Linked DNA regions of Drosophila melanogaster. The protein of the gene in region 3 purifies or fractionates together with the protein of the main gene of each other region. This does not show direct contact. Each region holds a gene or a part of one and is shown on either strand. Other genes may lie near its edges. The genes, in order: CG3548, CG15047 and RfC38.

Evidence for each region.
Region 1: the proteins of RfC38 (region 3) and CG3548 purify together in Drosophila melanogaster (affinity purification with mass spectrometry, with the first as the bait; one large-scale study listed by BioGRID). This does not show direct contact.
Region 2: the proteins of RfC38 (region 3) and CG15047 purify together in Drosophila melanogaster (affinity purification with mass spectrometry, with the first as the bait; one large-scale study listed by BioGRID). This does not show direct contact.

The regions. Positions count from the first base shown.
Region 1 is NT_033778.4:24,597,907-24,602,887, reverse strand, and holds CG3548 (uncharacterized protein), read right to left. Parts: upstream 2,942-4,981; 5' UTR 2,841-2,941; coding exon 2,503-2,840; intron 2,428-2,502; coding exon 1,908-2,427; intron 1,780-1,907; coding exon 1,276-1,779; 3' UTR 521-1,275; downstream 1-520. Other genes in the region: CG3565 (uncharacterized protein), read right to left, coding at 1-366; ATPsynF (ATP synthase, subunit F), read left to right, coding at 3,193-3,271, 3,391-3,635; CG13587 (uncharacterized protein), read right to left, coding at 3,797-3,989, 4,055-4,397, 4,455-4,893.
Region 2 is NC_004354.4:18,526,851-18,530,118, forward strand, and holds CG15047 (uncharacterized protein), read left to right. Parts: upstream 1-1,832; 5' UTR 1,833-1,861; coding exon 1,862-2,386; 3' UTR 2,387-2,743; downstream 2,744-3,268. Other genes in the region: CG15042 (uncharacterized protein), read right to left, coding at 94-1,404.
Region 3 is NT_033779.5:11,128,432-11,132,612, forward strand, and holds RfC38 (replication factor C 38kD subunit), read right to left. Parts: upstream 2,215-4,181; 5' UTR 1,741-2,214; coding exon 1,681-1,740; intron 1,571-1,680; coding exon 560-1,570; 3' UTR 501-559; downstream 1-500. Other genes in the region: Nup160 (nucleoporin 160kD), read left to right, coding at 1-302, 376-495; CG4751 (uncharacterized protein), read left to right, coding at 2,434-2,772, 2,833-3,190, 3,244-3,331, 3,456-3,625, 3,691-3,939, 4,022-4,181.

The DNA.
Region 1 (4,981 bases), on a different chromosome or scaffold from region 3:
CTGAAGATCTTTGGTGAAGTATACGGTGAAAAGCCGCACAAAGGACTCCAAGTGTATATGCTTGTCGGAAAAGAAGTCAGGAGGCCTGGAACCTGGTGTATGGGCTATTCTATACACAATGGTCGCAATGAGATCGCGATCCACGATCTCAAACAAGAGCTCCATCAGCGCAGAGAGTTGCTGAATGGTCATGTACTTTGCTCTCGGCCCATTGACCAGCACAAACTTATGGTAGAGCATTACAATGCTAATCAGCTCGTTATGCGAGAAGATCGAGTCCTTTGCCAGGCGAGCAATGTCCTTCATATACACGTAGTTGAAGCGGGCATTCTCCAGAGTGTCCAAGGAGCCGTCCAGGTCCTTCATTTCGATTTATCACAGCTTTCTAAAAGTTCAAGTGGATGAAATATATTGATAGAACCCTTGATTTTTAAATACTAAGCATTTGCAGAGTTGCCCACTTTGATTCCTGTTTCGGGGACTGAGAGATCGGAGAACCCCCCTTTAAACGCACGTCGTTCATCTGTTTATACACTATGTATTTGTATTTCATTATCTAATGGTTTAATCGTACCTTGCTCTCGCCCGATATAGGGTATTAATTAAGCAGAAGCAGGTGACAGGATATTACAGCGCTATACAACACGACGTACAGTAACTTATGCTTAGACGAATTATAAAAGATTCTCGCAATGTATGGACAATGGATACATTGATCTGCAACTACGGCAGCCCAACTGGTGGCAGCACAAGTATAAGTAGTAGTTGTGTAAAAAAAACTTAAAGCTAACAAATGAAGGTATAAAAATAATACAGTGGCCATAGAGAATACTGACTGATGAGTAAATTGCGTTCTGCAAAGGGGAACTTATTCAGAGTCTGTGCATGAGTATTTTCGAGTTTGTTTTTTTTTCGACGACACAACCGCATTTTGAATTGATCTCTTCGCCCGGAGTACTTAACAGATACGGATACAATTATGTAATACTAATTTCTTGAAAATGCAATGCCTGTGAGTTCGTCTCGTGCGAATTGCACAATAAACAACAGTCCATTCGTCCGAGTGGCAACTTGAGTGTGTCGATGAGTATTGTATGCGCGTCCGGCGTTTACGTTTCCGTTTCCGGTTACTCTGGCTGACCGGAAGAGCTACATTTCGCTAAACATATTTCAAGCTAAATTTTAAAGTACTGTTGATGTTTCCTCTAAATGCCTTACACCCTAATTGCTGGCTCTCTTCGTATTGTATATGCATATGGGCCAACAGCCACGCCCCTAGTTGCAGGCGGCATTGAGCGCCAGCGCCCCCTCCGCACTGGTCGATGGCCCGACCTCGTGGACATTGTTGTAGTCCGCTTTGGCATTGCACTTTGCTGAACTCTGATCCTGTATGCTTCCGTTCAGGCCACCGCTCTTCAGCGAGTAGATCCCCAGGCGCGCCTCGTGCTCCCGTCGTTGCTGCCGCAGCCGGATGTCGTGCTCCTCGCGCATGTGCCGCAGCTTGAGGTCCTGCTCCTGCCGGTAGTAGGCCATCTTCACCTCCTGCTCCATCTGCTCGAAGCGCAGCTTCTGCTCGTGTTCCCGCCGGGCGTAGTCGATTTCGGCCAGACGGGCCTGCTTGAGCAGCCTAAACAGGTCCTGCTTGTACTTCTGCTCTATCTCCGTGGCGGCGACCAAATCTAAGGACTGGCTATTTGTGTCTGCAACTGGGGTGGCGCTCGGAGCTGCGTTGGTGGAGGCTTCGTTCTCGTCGGACAGCAGCGACTGGGCCTGTGAGAGCTGGTTAACGATGAGATAGTATTATTAGTAAGAAAGATTAAGATTCCCCTTCACAAAAATTTGCAACTTGTTCAGCTAAACCTTAATTAATAATAATAAATAAACTTGCGGCTTGTGTTCAAACTCACATTCCTTTGTCGCCGCTTTCGTGGTGGGCCTACGCCCTTTTCGTTCTCCTCCCCCGTTTCGCCGGACGTTTCTGTCTTGGCGCCCGAGGGCGACTGCTTGGCCTTGGTCCGCTTGCGTCGCTGGGCTGGCAGCTGGGCGGGATTTCCCTCCTGCTGGGAGTCCCCGTCTCCGCCAGCAGTGGAGGGCGGCGGCGAGGGGATGGCTATTGTGGAGGTCTGCAGCGTGTCCTCGCTGGCGTTCGTAGAGTTGGGCAGAGCGGCCAGCGGCATGTCTTCGTCCTCGTCGATGTCCATGAGCTCCTTCTTAAGAGCGCCGTTTGTGTTCGCGCTGCGTGTCTGACTGCGCGAGGTGACCGGATCCTTCTGCATCTCCTCCAGGAACTCGATCATCCGCATGCCTTCCAGGGCCTCCGTTTTCGGATGCTTCTGCTGGTGCTCCCGCTTGGCGGAGTTCTTCATGCTGCGCCACTGCACCTGGATCTGCTCCAGCAGGCGATGGCGGAAGTTAAGGGCATTGAACCTGGATGGGGGGTTGGAATGGAAGGAGTGAAGGGCCATTATAAGACGAGCTCCACTGCCCAATGGCGCAACTTACTGCTTGGTGATCTGCGACCAGGCCAGACGCTTGGCCTTTATGCTCTTGGCGTCCACGCTCCGGTTCTCCACGAAGGCCACCTTGGACTTGATGACCTCAAGGAGCAGCCCCCTTTCCGCCTCCTCCCAGTTAAGGGAGCGTTTCTTGCGCGTGCCCTTCTTCTTGCCACCCGCGCCTTCCTTCTCGCCAGCATCCTCGGCCGCATCCTCCGCGTTCTCCGCCCCCTCGTCCGCGGTGGCGCTGCTTGACTTCTGCGGCTTCAGCTCCACCTTCTCGTCCTCGTCGTCGTCCTCCGGCGGAGAGGAGGCTCCCTTGGTCAGCAACTCCTCCAGTTTCATTGTTTTTGTTTACACACTGGATTCGCTTTGGCTGGATTCTGATTCGAATGCCCAGGCTTGCAAAAATCCTATTTGATTTCTGTATATACTGGAGCTTAGTGATGTGAGAAGTGCATCGTGCATCGGGCATCGATATATTCGCTGTATCGATGACGTAGCGAATACATCCTCCCTGTTAGCGGAGACGCACACAATAAATTCGCACATAGTATATTTCGGTATATTGGTCGATGAAAATCCCAGCTCTCGCCGCTTTGGTCATACTGTCAGTATCGAAGGAAGTAAGTAGCAGGCGTAATTTTATGTTTCATAAGAATCCGATTTAAGAATATATCTCAACCAAACCAGCGCGATGGCATTCGGTGACTATCCAGCTGAGTACAACCCCAAGGTGCACGGGCCCTACGACCCCGCTCGCTTCTACGGCAAAGGTGAGCAGGTTACGTAATTTTTGCGGCAGGCACAGAGCACATTTGCACTGCCCAAAAATGTGCAGCGTTTTACATAATTTAAACAACTTTCCGACCTCTCCGCTCTCTCCGATCCGCAGCCGATGTGCCCTTCGGCCAGGTCAAGCTGGGCGAGATCGGCGCCTGGCTGGGACGCCGCAACAAGACCCCCAACGCTGTGGCCGGAGCTGTGAGCCGTGCCTGGTGGCGCTGGCAGCACAAGTACGTGTTCCCAAAGCGCGCCGGGATCGCTCCCTTCTTCCAGCTGACCGTCGCCAGCATGACGTTCTTCTATCTGATTAACTACACCAAGTTGAAGCACCACAGGAACTACAAGTACCACTAAGCGGCGCTGCCCGGTGGTCCTGCATCTGCAACAGATTCTACACTTTCCACAAGGCGTGCGAGAGGCGGGCAATCACCACTAAACTATATCTATTTGGCTTTTGTGTTTTGAAAACTGCTTAAGTGAATAAAACGGCTGCGAATATCCATGCTGCCATAGACTCAGACTCGGTCTCTTCCGCACTCGAAGACTGCATTTGGGCCGATGTCCAGCTCGGAACTGGACTGCTCCCAGCCGAAAGTTGACCGGGCCGTGTGGATTTCGCAGATAAAGGGCAGCTCCCGGTCGCAGTTCAGGGTTTGCCAGGTTCCCTGCGGCGTCAAGGCCACGCAGCTGGCGTTGCCCAGATCACCACTGCAAATTCGGTTAGATTTAGAGAAGATAGCATTGGCGGCTAACCTAATAAACTGTCAGCCTACCCAACTCGAGGATGACCACCATCCCAGGCTCTGTAAAGAAAGCACTGCAAGCTCTCCCCTTGGGAGTTCCTGAAGTCCAGTGGGCTCAATGACGTTGAGCTGTTGTAGGCCAAACCCACATAGGCCAGATAGACATTACCTTCTGCCAGAGACTGTGATTTCCTGTTGAATTCCACTAGCCATTGGGCCAATAAACTGGTTCTGTGTTCGGATGCGATGTGGGCCAGACTACCAGTGAACTCCGAGGAGTTTGAACAGGTCAGTGAGGCATTCAAGTAGGCACTAGGCTGAGTATACACCACGAACAGCCCAACCTCCGGTATGCAGCTGTAGTTCCTTACGACTAGCAAGAACCACAAAATTATTCAACCAAACAGATACGCTAGATACTTCATTTAACCTGTTGGCCTTCCATATAAGCTGTAGTAATCGAAGCGACTGTCATTGACCATCCCTGAAAATGTGTTATTCTGAGGACACTTCAGGACGTGGCAGTTGAAGAACTCCCCTGGCTGTTCGAAGACACTCAAACGACTTCGAATGCGCTGCTCCTTGTCGCCCTGCTTGCCAAAGGACCTCTGATCAAATGCATTTAGCCTCCTTTTCGGTCCTCCTGGAGCGTAGTTCAAGGCCAGCCCACGCATATCATGCGCCAGATCAGCACATTCCTTCAGAGAGGATGTGTTTTCCAGGGCCAGAGCTTCATCAGCTGCAGCTCGTTGGCACTGGCGAACCAGGTGGAACTGCAGCGGGTTCAACTTCCCAGTGGGGCAGTTCAAGGAGCCCCTCGACACACCCATCAGGTAGGTAAACACAAGAAACAGGACGGCAGGCGCCATTGGAAGTAACTCGGAGTAGTTGAATCCGAATCTCACGTATCTACGATCATATCTCCACTGACATATCACACTGAAATTGTGCCGCTTG
Region 2 (3,268 bases), on a different chromosome or scaffold from region 3:
GAAATACATTTGGCTGTTTCTCAGAAATGTTCGTCTTTAATGCATTTCAAATGGAATGTCTTATGAAATACATTCTTATTGTTTTCAAATACATCAATTCGAATAATAATCGTCAAACAAGTGAATCATATGGCACTCGTGAATATGTTTCATTAAACGAATCACATATCCACCGTCTTTCAAAATGTTATGGATGCGAACATTGATATCGCTTCGTAGTACTGTGTGCTCCAGATGCTTTATGCCCTCTAGGATGTTTATGTAAGGTATGGGACACTGACGGCGTGTTCCCAATATTTCAAATCTAAAGGCCAGATTGTGCTGGGCTTTCTCCAGCTCATAGCAAAATGTTAGATTTTTCTTGCTTGTATACTCGGTGATGCCGAAGTCCAGAAAGTAGACACGGTAACGGCAGCGAAATATGTCAACGATTTTGGCGCGATGATATCGCCCCTGATATGGGGCCAGAACGATGTCCCAGACGCGAAAATCACCTGTGCCCCTTTTCATAACACTCTTGCTCCACGTGGGCACTGTTGGTCCATCAGCGAATCGGGCGTAGAATTCGGCATGGCTAACGATCCTGGTGACATGGACGCGTACAATGCTACCACGTTCGCGACGCTTGGGTCTATATCGTGCAAAAGATTTGGCCACTTCCCGATCGTTTGCATCCATATTTCCGTACTCATCGCCCGAAATTGGTGGTAGTTGTGCGGATGGAATCTTCCGAATGTTGGTCCTATTCCTGATCAGGGCCACCAACAGTTCAAGGCCATTACTGCCGAGGACGCGCAGTCTAACATTTTGGGTAATAAATATATGCATCTGGGCCACATTGACCAGGCGGCATTTGATCGTTAGCGCCGGCAGCTTCTTGAGATCATCCGGCAGCGCGAAGATGCGCTCCATGCCGGACATGTTGGTATATTTGGCAGCGTCGATCATATAGGCACAGTAGCCCATGGGGTGAACGGGGGCATTAATGGCGATGCGAGAGATGCGATTCTCGGCCTTGTCGTAGAATGCAAAGATTTCGCCATAGTCGGGCAGCTGCTCCAGTTCCTGCAGTTGCACCTGCCCCATGGCTAGACATTTCAAAAGCTTGGAGCCCGGTCCATTGATGGTCACGTAGAAGACCGGCAGGCTCTCGAGCAGCACGGTGCCGGTTAACTTGGTGCCTATCGCAATTTCACCGATTTGGTCCGTGATCTTGTAGAAGGTTCCCACAACGGACCGCATGTGACCGCCATGGGGAGGATATAGGCGGCTCTTTCGCGGATTCCGCGCCAAACTGCTTAGGATCTCCTTTGAGTTGACGCACTTGGGGACCGCCCGGATGGGCTGAAGCAGGCAGCTGGGAATGGATTCTGTTTTCATCAGATTGAAAGTGCCTCCTTCCATTTTATACAGATGTGCTTATAATTTCAGGGAATAATTTAAACTACATATTGCCTTGTCAAAATGGAAGACAGTATCAGGGTAGCACTTCTTATCAAAATATCTCAAATAATATCAAAATTCTTGTTTGGAACTAAATGTACTTTATTTTGTGAAGTGAATAAAAATTGTTAGATTTCACCATATACTTAATTGTACGTAAATGATTCATGTTGCTGATTATGCAATGGCACTACAAATAAGTGTCAGTTTAGTAAGCTTTACTTTTATTAGCAATCAGCATGTGTCCTTGTTCCGCACTGTACTGAAAAGTAGGACCGTACTTAAGGATTTACCTAAAATTCGGCCACACAACAGTTAAATTAGCTTTCTGGGTTCGAAACCAAATGAGAGGGGTTAAAGAGGGGATCAGCTGATTTTGGCTAGATATCGATAGTGACGCCAAAGTTGAGCTGCGGAAATGTCGCAAGTTGAGCAATTGCATCTGAAATCTCCGCCAGAAACGGCTGCAGCAGGAGCAGGATCTCCTCAAGCAGCCGCTTCGGTGGCCGTGGCAGCCGATGCCAACGAAACGGAGCTCATGGTGAAGGTGGTCATGGACATGGGCTATCCGGAGGGCGAGGCTCGCTTGGCGCTGGCCCAGAGTAACAACAACGTGCAGCGGGCGGTGCAGATCTTGGTGGAGGGAATGGATGACGGCGAGACGCGCAAAAGGCGTGGCAATCGCAAGCGATTAAGGCAACTGCGCAGCTCCCTCATGGGGAATCCACTTGCCACGGATGAAGCCATCATCGAGATGATGCGCGATCAGAGGATCGCACAGACGCTCGCCGAGTTGGTGAACGGCAGCAGTGTGCAGGCCATGGAACTGCTACTGTCCGAGGAAGTGGATGAGTCCGAGAACGAGCAGCCGGAGGAGCAGGAGCTTGAAACCAGCCAGGAGCAGTCATCCTCATCTGCCGATGACTCTTCGCCTAGCAACTGAAAGGGAAACCAGATACTAGTTAGTACTGCTTACATCTTATAAGTTAAGGTATAGATATATGAGAAGTTTAGTTTTCAAGTCTACTGTTAAGTTAAAACAAGTTCTTCATAGTTACGTTTTTAGTTTGCTATTATGTTTAAAAAATGCCCTTAACTTTATAGTAAGTGTATATCAGAGTAATTAATGTTGATATTAATCCACCATGAAGTCTAACGAAGATTTCCATGTTAATTTTGTTAATTTTGTTTTCATATCTAAAAAGTGTCATCAATTTAAAAGTATACTTATATTTTAGTTTATTTTCAATTGTGGAATTTCGTGAATATTTGCATTAAATATATTGCTAAGCTGTTAGTGAAGATGAATCGTCGTTGTTACTTTTGGAAAACTTCTTTTTGGAACTCCTAATCTAATTTTTTCCATAATAAATAGGCAAACTATAGAATTTTTTAAAGAACCTAACAGTTAGAAATAAGTACCATTATTTTTGTAACATTATTATTGTCAATTAAGAGCAGTATATGGGGAATCAGGGCAGTTCGAGGACGAGGATGTTACCTGATGTGCTGGTCCCTAAAATGTTTGGGTTCAACCCCAGCCATCGGGAGACATTAAATGCATTAGGGCCACCCAGGCCAATTTTCCCCCGAGCACTTTGTTGTTGTTTTGGCGGATATGACTCCGGTCAAGGAGCGGAAGAAGCCGGAACTGAAAGCAACAGCAACAGCAACCCTGTGGCAATAGCAATGCGCAGCTTGTCAACCCTTTTCGGCCCGATGATTAATGATCGCTCTTTTATTTTTTCTACTCCAGCGTTTTGTACTGATTTCAATTTACCGCCTTTGCTCACCAGTTCTTTGGCGTAGATTGGAGTACATATAG
Region 3 (4,181 bases):
AGAGCGTGGTTCAAAGGCTTCTCGGGTTAAACGCCTTCTTGCCCCAGTGGCTGATAAACTCCTACAAGTTATCCCACTCCCGGGAACTGCTCCACTTACTTGTGAAACACAATCGTCTGCTGGAAGCCGCAGATCTGGGATGTGAAATAATCGCCGGCATGCTGGGAGCAGGTAGCGAGTATTTCGAATTCAAACACGCGGTGAACATAGCAAACCCACAGCTCTGCTTCCCCATCAGCACGATCGATTTGCTGCTGCACGGTTTAAAGATTAATGGCAAGGATGATCTTGATTATGAAATGGTAAGTCATACATATAAATTTCGTTCTACTCAAAATACATTCCAATCATATTCCAAATCTATTCCTATTTTAGGCTTACTTTAAACTCGAAGAAGAAGTTCAAAGATATATTGAGACCATAAAGCGCACCACCGATGATAAGATGAGCATGGCCGTTCTGCAGATGCGAACGGATCTTCAGGAAGAACGTTAATAGTTCGTTTAAATCAGTTTATTTAATAAGTTTTTTGAATTAAATGCTAAAGCGTGTAAATCGTTTAAAAATCATCCGTCATGTCCAGCTCAGAAAGGAACTTTTTATAGATGTTCATAAACTGAGCGACGAACGCTTCAAGATGAAAAATGTGCTTGGCGCCGGACTGCATCCGGTGCTCGTACTCGGTGGCGAACTCGAGCGTCTTTGCCTTGATGGACATATCACAATTGTTAACCAGCTGTTCGACCAGGCCGCGGAATATGAGATTAGGTGGAACGCCTTGCGTGAGTAGCTCGTACAGGCGTTCGCGGATCTTCTCCAGTTTGGCAGGCGTTTGCTCACTGATAATCTGAGATGCTGTCTCACGCAGGAACACCTGCCAGTCCAGGTCGGGAATCTCCTGATTGGCGGTAAACGGCGCCTTGGCCACCTTGGCGGCCTCCAGCATCAAAAGTGCTCGCCTGAGATTGCGCTCCGACTTGTCCACAACCCGTTTGGCCAGCTCCACGGGCAGTGCGAGTCCCTCCCGCTTGCAAGTGTTCTGCAAGATGGACACGATCTCCGTTTCGTTGGGAGCCGCCACCCGTATGCCCAGGCAACGCGACCGTATGGCCGGAATGATCCGAGATGTGGAGTTCACCGATATGATTATCCGGCACGTGGCCACATATTTCTCCATCGTACGGCGCAGGGCGTGCTGGGCATCCTTGGTGAGTTCGTCGCCCTCCGAAATTACAATCACCTTGAATTCCCGTTGGCCACTAATCTCAATTTGATGCGTCTGGGCCACCTGCTTGATGAGATCGATCACCACCGTGCGGTCGTACATGCCAGCGTCGGAGGGATTCACCTCCAAGTGGTAGTTGCTGCTGACCGTCATCACCTCTACCTTCCGATTGGATGGCGTGGTGAATGTCATGGTCTCGCTCCTCAACCGCTCAACGCCGGATCCGTACATCTCCCGTAGCAGGCACATGATGCGTGTCTTCTTGCCAGCACCCGAGGGTCCGTAGAACATCAGATGAGGAAAATCGCTCTGCTTGCAAAGGTTGCGTAGGTTCTCCGCTTGATCCTGCATCGAAATTAGCAAAAATCATAAAATAAAAAACCTTTTTAAAAAGAGATACTTTAATATATGGGCCAGCTATATAGATGTATGCGCCGGTTTCCTCGCTGATTTACCTTGTGGAAGTCCAATTTGGACAGCTCCCGCGGACGGTATTTATCCACCCAAAGTGCCATTTCGTTAACGCATGTAAAATACGATAGTAATTGGATGTATTTTAAGTTACTTTCTGACCGTAAAAGTAATTTAACAAAACAATTTAATGCGCGCCTTTTCCGCTGACTATTTCTAGTAATGCTGCAAGCTTCGATGTTTTTGATGATTATTGTCGATTTCTACGCTGTGATATCGATGTTTAGAGGTTTCATTAAATTTGCCACGCACATATTTTCAAATGATTATTTCGGCTTGAATGATTTAAAAAATTAAATACTTTAACAGATCACAATTAAAATTAATTTTAAAGTAATATTATTACATTTACACTGTTTTCGTGCCACGACTAAAACCAACGATAAAACAAGTAAAATTAATGGATTTCAAAATAAATGATTACGAAAATGCCTAAAAGACTTGAACTCTTTTATGATAAATAAACATTTGAAAACAAAAACATTTCTTGTGTTTCTGTAATAAATAACCGATTCAATGCTTCTCATGTTATGTATGGCAACGCCATTCCTCCGTTTTTACCGGTTAAAATTGGACCGCTAGCAAGTGTGACCGTGGGTTGGCGGTTTTAATGAGTTTCGGTATTCTGGGTAGAAAAAGCAGCTACCTTACTGCATCCATCAGTTTTTTTTCGCAAAACTTAAGTATCTTGGAAGTAAAATATCCGTAGAATTGCACAGAATTCGCGACAAGAACGCATGGAGAACGGAGTGGAACATGGTGTGGACGAGTCAGGCGAGAACCAGGTGCTGAGCAGTTCCGATGGCGAGGGAGACTGTGATGGTGACGGTGAAGTGGAGGGGGAGGTGCTGCAGCCGCCGCCGCCGCCGCCACTGCAAATAACAAACGATTGTGTTGGCGAAGGGGTGCAAGCGGAGGAGGGGGAGCGTGCACCAGCGACGACCGGAGCTGTGGACGTCACTCCGGACCCTGGGCCACCGCCCACGGATGGTGCAGCACCTGTAGCCATACTGGAGGACAACATGTGCGACAAGGATGTGGATAGCGATGCTGGCGACGAGGACAACGACGATGAGGTGAGCGAGATACCTTAAGCTTTTTGAAAATGTATAATATTTTCTATTCAAACCCTTTAGACCAAGGAGAACTACGAGGGCTTCAATGGCACCGGACGCACCGTCACACTGCAAACGCTGATGGCTGCCAATGTCCTGCAGCCGGGCCTGGGCTTAATGACTATCGAATATCTGGGCCAGAAGTTCGTTGGCGATCTACTGGCCGACGGTAAGATCAAATCCCATGAGACTGAGACAATATTCCTCACGCCCAGCGCCTGGGCAATGCACTGCAAGCGGATCATCAATCCGGACAAGAAGAGCGGCTGCGGCTGGGCCTCGGTCAAGTACAAGGGAAAGAAGCTGGACGCCTACAAGAACACGTATTTGCGAAAGTGCGCGTTGCAAAAGGAGACGCCGCTAGATGATTGTGAACTGGGTAGGTAAAGCTCACTTGCTTTATAATCCTTGCTAATTCCATCGAATCCATAGATGCTGAACGCAAGACTGACACCCCGGAGATTGTCGTCAAGCGAACCGTTTTCGCACATAATACCGTTTCGAATCGCAACGTAGTACAGTGAGTAGACCAAATGCGTACTGAATTTTGAGGGGGGTTGGTTCTTTAAAAGAATAGTCTGGCTTGCTTTTAGTTTAAATCTATATGCTGGATGGTATTTTAATCCAATTCTATTTATCCACAGCGACGCCAACATGTTGATTGAATCGGTGCCGTTTACTTCGGTGGGGAAATTGCAGCCCTTCCTCATTACAGTGAACTCCTCTGCCCTCTTGCTGGCGGATTTTCACTGCCACTTGACGGTGCGTGAGGTGTGCGGCTATCTAGGTGGCACCTGGGACATGAACACACACAGTGAGTCCGGCTCGGCTTGCGATTTATACTGCATAGGCATTTTCTACATGTTTTTTTCATTTCAGCTCTATCCATCACAAAGACATATCCTTGTCGCAGCACGCGCTTTGATCGACAGCGAGCCGGCGAAGTGGAGCGTGATATTCAAAAGATGATGATTCAGGATCAATTGCTGTTGGTTGGATGGTATCACTCGCATCCCAAGTTTCAGGCGGAACCTACGTTGCGCGACTGCGATGCACAGTTGGACTATCAAATCAAAATGCGCGGTGCCAGCGATCTCACCTATACGCCCTGTGTCTCCCTAATTATATGTATGTGTTATCCAATGGCCTTTTAAATTCTGCGCAAATACTTCATCTCAGCCTTAATCGAATAATACATTTTATCTTACAGCCCCTTACTACGATGAAAACCCTACCCTGGAGTCGGTGGTCAAGTGTATTTGGATTGTTCCGCCCAACGAGAACAGACAGTCCATGGAGTATGGCCGTCCAATGCTGATGCAGTATTCGGTGCTGCCGGACAAGGAGATACCCGAGGAGGTGCGCTCTGA